2 linked regions of the Nothobranchius furzeri genome follow. The protein of the gene in region 1 interacts with the protein of each later gene in a pairwise test. Links are inferred from orthologs where the notes say so. Each region holds a gene or a part of one and is shown in the gene's direction. Other genes may lie near its edges.

Region 1 (2,593 bases):
GGAGTTCAAATGGTTAAAAATGTGTTTAAAATCACAATAAATAGAAGTCAATCATAATTTGAGTGTTCATGGAGTTATAAGTAACAATGAAACTAAAGGTTTATCTAATGTGAAACAAGGAAAACTTTGTATTGTTTCAAGTTGTTTTACAAGTTCATTTTGGGTTGTCAATCTTGTATTTTCTTTTATCCCATTGGTTGATGTAAACCTACTGTCCAATCAGACGTAAGGGAGGCGGGAGCTAAGTGAGGCAAAAGAAAGAAAAAACAGCGAAGCTAGTGAGAGTCGGCAGCAGCACGTTGCGGGAGGAGGTTGTGTACCAGAGCTAATGGAAGAATAGTGAAATAATAGCCGTGGATGCAGAGTCTACGTTCCTGTTATGGACTGTTTTACCCTGTGATGAGTGAGTACTGAATGTGGAGTTAGCATTGAGCTTAAACGGAATGTATAAGTACTTAAAATGTATGGTGCTAATCGCGAGTTAGCATGTTAGCATTTTAGAGCCTGTAATAGCTATGTATGTCGAGTACGTAAGATACAGCTTATTCTGTGGAACTAAATAGTAATCTCTAATGCACAGTGGACCGAGAGGAATTCTCTGGACTCTTCTGCTGTGGATAGGAGTTCTGTGTGGTTGTTCCAGTGTACTCAGCAGCCCGGGTATGCCGCTAATTCCGACCACCTTGCCGAGTGGAGGCCGCATGGTCACCAACCAAGACTGCCCCTCCGTTTGCCTTGCACTTAGCCCAAAGGATTCATGAGTAGACCTGAGCACGTGTGTTTTGTTTTCTGCTGGTTATCAAGTGAAGCGGCCATTTGTTTGTTTTCTGGCCCAACGAGCCCAAGCAACGATCAGGCCTGCAACGGTTTCAGTGAATGAGCTCACAAAGGTTAAAACTGGTTAGTCATTGTTTCTCCTGTTTACCAATAAGATTAGTTAATGTACCCAGGGCCCCGCTCATAGTACTATCACCATCTTAACCGAGGGTTAATCCAGAGCTACTTGAGTTGGGTGCTACACATTTGGAGGCACCGCTGGGATTGTTGTTGTTTTATCTACATTTTAAGTTACCACTAAATCTGCTGTAACCTTAAAGTAACTAAGAGTAACACTGGTCCTAAAAAGCAACTTCAATTAATCTTTTTTTTCCCCCTACAAAGTAACTTGTTAAACTATGGCCACTAAAAGTGATGTCTCACAACCGAATCTTGCAAATTGGTGCAGAGGTGAAGGGCTCGATCAGGCACATGCCATTCTAGTTGTCGGAGTGCCTGAAGAGGAGGACCTATCCACAGTAGAAGAAACACTCGAACAAGTAAAAACCTTGGGCAAGGTAAGAGTAAGAGGAAAAATGTTTGATGCCAATAATCAAACCCTGACCATGTTATGTGAATGCTGTGAAGCAGTCGATCCTACCAAAGTTCCGCCAGAGTTGATTTCCTTTAAGGATGGAAGTAAATGGACAATAGTTGTTGCAGAGCAAGAAACGAACTCCGACCTATTCACAGAGAAGTTGGACAGATTTCTGCGTGATGAAGGGAAAACAATGGAGGATGTTCAAAGACTATGTGATCCTAGAACTCCATGGAACAGCAGCCCTGAGTCAATCATTCGGGTGGTAGGTGATGTGTTGCAGTCCAAGCCAAATGAAAGCAATTTATACCGTCGTTTTAGAATCTTCTCAGGAGTCTACCCTACTCCACCTGGTGAAGACAACTTGGATAGCTGGCTAGAACAAGTAAAGTTCATGACTGATGAGTATGAGTGCTCAGATAAGGAGAAACGCCGAAGAATTATTGAGAGTCTCAAAGGGCCAGCGCTGGAGATCATTCAAGCAGTGCGCATGTCTAATCCCCTGGCAAACCATGTGGACTGCATACAGGCATTGGAAAGTACCTTTGGTACCGCAGAATCCGGTGAGGAACTGTATCTCACATTCAGAGCTATGCATCAAAGACAAGGGGAGTGCTTGTCTAACTTCTTGCTGAGACTGGAAAGATTACTGAACAAAGTCGTGCAAAAAGGAGGCCTACAAGTAGATGAAGCCAACCGAGCAAGGCTTGAGCAACTCATTAAAGGTGCTACTGAATAAGACTTCATGCTGCTTCATCTAGGTCTTAGAGGTAAGCGAAGTGATCCCCCGACATTTTTAAGTCTACTGAAAGAAATTCGAGAAGAAGAGGAGCGTGAAGCTGCAAGACAAAAACTGAAAAAACCAGCACAGAGACAGCACGTGCATGCAGTGCAAGTAGCAAGTGAAACAGACTCCAGAGATTGTCAGCAACATGAGTTTCAGTCCGAAATTCAAGTGCTAAAAGAAAAGCTGAAAGAGCTCAGTAAGCAGTCTCATTCTACAGAGTCAAGCCACAAAAAGATGTCCAGAGAAAAGAAAAAAGAGAAATCAGACACAAGCAGCGAAGTGCAACAGTTAAGAAAAGAAGTCAAAGAGCTGAAAACACAGTTAAGTGTCATGTCGGTAACGCCACAACATTATGCAAAAGAGAGAGGGCACTATTCTAAGTTCAAAGCGGACTTCAGTCCAAAGTCATCTACCTTTAAGCCAAAGAGTAGTAAAGAGTCAGATAATTTCTG
Region 2 (4,202 bases), on another chromosome or scaffold:
TCCATTATTGGGATTCTGAGAGGTTGAGGACCAACAAACTGTAAGATAGAGAAGAAGTTATCTCTGTCTGGCCCCAAAACAATTTCTAATTGGAATCTGGCGTCCTTGAGCCTGTGAGGCTCCAACAAACCCCCCCCCCCCCCCCCCCCTCAGAAGATACGTGGAATGTATCGTCGCTATGGCAACTCAACTCTACCTCCTTTCCCAGCCTGGGCGGGACAGCAGGAAGGCCGCTGAAGCATCCAGGGTCACTGCAACCCTCCAACCCTTAATGCCCCCCCACCCACCCCCCCACCCCCATGCGCTGCTTCATCGTGGCTGCAGGAACTGAAGTTGGGATAGTCCATACCCACCACCCCACCTAGTGAACACTTATGTTGTGTTGTCTGAAGTCTGTTGCATATCTCTGTCTGAGGTGTTTTTTTTTTTGCAGCGCAATGCTGCCTTCCCGGTAGAGGGTAAAGCTTGGTCCGCGAGGTCCGTGCGGCGAAATTGCGTCATTTTAACAACCACGCCCCTCCACCGCGCCTCCGCACGGCCCAAAATTCCGCACTGCACACCTAGGAAAATTTCTAACCACCCGGACGGTCGGATGTGGAAAAACATGGCGGACCGGCAAGATCTAGTAAGGCAGAGGTTCGTAACTACAGACATTTGTATGATTCAGCTCTCAGAGATCACCGTGATCAACATGTTGTTAATATTTCTTGGAGAGAAGCTCGCACTGTTGGAAAAGACGAGAACGCTGTTTAAAACTGCTGGAATGCCATGTTGTAAACAACAGTAATTTTTACTTCTACTATGGTGTAGTGTTGGATGCATGCTGTAGAGCTCCATGCAGCCCCGTTCAGTTTGAGAGAATATTGGCTCACCGCAGAGACGAGCCGCACGAACCATAAACGCTGCGAGTTGTGAAGCGCGTTCCATCCGCGAGCCGCATCACCAAGTGGAAAGTGAATGCGTCAAGCATAAACCAACCTTAACTTTGAAGTGCCTTTTTTTCCCTCCACCTGAACCAGTACTCATGTAACCCTCTTATCTCTATTAAGGTAGTGTGACTCAGGGTTGCGAATGACCACAATCACCAATTCTTGTCATGTGTCTTGCCCATGTATGTCTGATCTCAGAATTGTGTGTACTGAAACTCTAATTTCCCTCTGGGATTAATAAAGTATCTTTGATTTGATTTGAGATGACTTAAAACGCAAAGGTTAATAAAAATATACGGATTCGTGACCAGGTAAAACAAATCTTTGTTTCACTGTTTGTGCGTTCATTTGTGAAAACCTGCTGTGTCTACAACACAGATGTTTTTTTATTTTTATTTTTTTTCCTGGATTAACAGGAAGTAAGTCCGTAGGGGTAATCGTTCCGTGACTTCCGTCATGTGCAGTGCAGCGGTAAAATCCTTCCGTCTAGGTGTTTCGTGGTCAGCAACCTGTGGTTCAGACGTAAAAGCGAAATTTTTATTTATCGAAACACCTGTTAGGTGAAGGTCTCCTGTTTAGAAATCTTAGATAAGGCTTTGGAGAGAGCGACAAAGGAAATGGATGGACAGATTTTGCAAGTAGGTGTTGCGCCAAACCTCTACGCGACGGATTTTACTTGGTTACCGCGGAACATAAAAAAAATGATGTAAATTTTATCGCTAAAGCGAACATTGTTGCTAACTTTTTTACTCTAACATCTTCCGTCTGTCATCTAATTGCCCTGCGTATGGTCTCAGAAAGATAGTCCCAGTCCTTAGCACTATGAAACAATCAGATATGATTGTAAGCATTTTATTTTATGTTCGTGTCAGAGCTGCCACATTCAATGAAATGAATAAAACATGTTTGTAAATGAACAGGCTACTTGTATCAGCATTTTGTTGCCATTTAGATTGTAATGCTTTTTTGTTTTCTAATTAAAATCATGTACTAAAATGTTACAGAAGTTAAGAAGAATGGCAACGTCTTAAAAAGCTCGAAGATCACCCAAATCACATGCCTGACATCTTTCTGTCGTTCTCAGGCTGTTTTGGACTCAGAGACAGCGTCTCTGTCTGTTGGGATGTCCAACTTGTCTGATGAGATCCTACTGTGTATCCTTCATCACGTTCCAGTGTGTGACCGCCTGACGAATGTTGCAATTGTCTGCCGGAAGTTTTACACACTCTGCCACGACAAAACCCTGCTCTCAAACGTCACGTTGTCTGAAGAATATCTGGTAAAGCTGTTTGATTTCTTTTGATTGGTGCTGATGAGGAATTTTTCATGATTGTCTCATTAACTTTTCATTTTCTTTAAGGCTGATGATCGGTTAGTTCGACACATCCTGAAGAAGCTTGGCAACAGCGTGCTGTCTCTCAGCCTGAACGGTTGCTACTGGCTGTCTGGTTCCACACTGGAGCATTTGGCACGCTGCAGAGCAGTAACACACCTCGATGTGACGGGCTGTCGCATCAGTTATCTCTGTCTGTCGCACCTCCTCTCCTCTCTGTCCTCTCTCAGATCCCTGGCGTTTGATGTGAGACCGTGCTTTAACTCTGCTTTGCTCAGTTCAAAAGCGGTGGACTCGCTGAGCCGCTTGACGGAGCTCAAACAGACGCTCTTAACACCAAGCTATGGTGTTGTGCCATGCTGTGCAAAACTTCGCAAGTAAGGACTTGCAAGACAGATGCTTATATTTAGCTGTTTTTAAGCCATCATCCTTAAATATCTCTTCACCCTAGCTACCATGACTGTCAAGCAACTGGAATGGGATTTACTTATTTGTGAGTTTCTGTTTTAAGCTTCCGGGTTACAGATATAAAGATTTGGTTCTCTGGTGTGTGTGTGTGTGTATGTGTGTGTGATAGGCTAATGCTGCAGTTTGACATCCCAGATGTGACCAGAGAGGGTGTGGGTGTTAGCTGTCAGTTAATGGTTGGTCAGAGCAGTGTACCGCATTACGAACAGCTGGAGGAGTTCACAGCCAGACTGGCTCCAGGAGAGGTGAGTGTGTTAGTAATCATTTAAACAAGACCCAGTCCTGTCTGTAACACTGTACGGGATGTTTCCGTGTCTCGTTGGCTGCAGGTGAACCAGACGCTGCTCCTTCTTTACCTGGCGGTGTTCAGTGTTCACATTCCAAAGAATCTCAGAGTTTTCCTCGTGTCGATTCCCGGTCCAAACCCGGTTCACTGGCCGGCTGCTTCCTCGCTGGCTCAAAGTTTGGGTCAAAGAGGAGACCTGGTGGCTCTGCAGCTCCCTCGATCCTGGTTGGATTCTTTTTCTCTAAAGCGAGCCTTGGAGGGGAACAGCCCCAAGCACCTGAGCTTTAGCCGTTGCCCCGCTCTGTGGCCGCAGGTGTTCCAGTCGCTTCTGAACGGAGGAGTCCGAGATGCCACGGAGCTCATCAGCCTCAACCTCAGCGGCATCAACCACGTTCTTTACTCCGAGTGCAGGAGCGTAGAAGATCAGCTGGTTACTGTGACCCTGAGTCAGCTGGCTGAAGTCTGTTCCAACATTAAGCACCTGAATCTGATGCACACACACTACCATCATGAACACACACTTGCGCTGGATGGAGAAACACACCTGTGTACCAGTTTGGGTCGATTCAAACAGCTGCGCTCTCTCACCCTGCCTGCATGCGCTCTGTCTGACGGTGTGAACACAAATCACATCTCGTCTTGCAGCTCAGCTACCTCCGCGCTGTTTCAGGGACTGAAGAAAGCTCCTCGAGTGGGGCTCCAGAACTACAGACCTGACTCAGAATCCTCTCTCTCAGGAGACAGCACTTCAGGGCTGTCTTCGCTAGTAGCTGGCTGCCCTTTTTTAGAAACCTTAGAGGTTATTGGGCCAGGGTTTGTCTCAGCGCTGCCTCGACTCGAGCCCTGCACTCGTGCCAGCGTGGAGCCTCGTGGTATGTGCGCCTGGGCCAGGGAAGTTGGAGACGCACACTTGGCGGCACTTGAAGCTTTGCCTCAGTTGCGCCGTTTGTCTCTGGCTGGACTTCCTGGAGTTCTCAGAGGAACAGGACTGGTACAACTGGCCAGACGGTGCACAGACTTAAGAGTTTTGTCTTTAGCCAACCTGGGATCTTTGAAAACTATGAATTACTCCCCTGCTCTGCTGGAGACACTGAAACAGTGCACACAGCTGCAGGAACTCAGGTCAGAATATTCCTATAGTGTTCTTTTCCCTTTTAAAAAAAAGTGGTTTATTTTCTATTTTTAA

The links.
Region 2: the proteins of paraneoplastic antigen Ma1-like (region 1) and fbxl18 interact in a two-hybrid assay, tested with the Homo sapiens proteins (2 studies listed by BioGRID). The two-hybrid records come from large-scale screens. The link is inferred for Nothobranchius furzeri from reciprocal best matches to the Homo sapiens genes PNMA1 and FBXL18.

The regions. Positions count from the first base shown.
Region 1 is NC_091745.1:26,674,385-26,676,977, reverse strand, and holds paraneoplastic antigen Ma1-like, read left to right. Parts: upstream 1-1,175; coding exon 1,176-2,093; downstream 2,094-2,593.
Region 2 is NC_091744.1:14,834,208-14,838,409, forward strand, and holds the start of fbxl18 (F-box/LRR-repeat protein 18), read left to right. Parts: upstream 1-1,402; 5' UTR 1,403-1,546; coding exon 1,547-1,567; intron 1,568-2,013; coding exon 2,014-2,208; intron 2,209-2,289; coding exon 2,290-2,639; intron 2,640-2,839; coding exon 2,840-2,975; intron 2,976-3,059; coding exon 3,060-4,138; intron 4,139-4,202. UniProt on the Homo sapiens protein: Substrate-recognition component of the SCF (SKP1-CUL1-F-box protein)-type E3 ubiquitin ligase complex.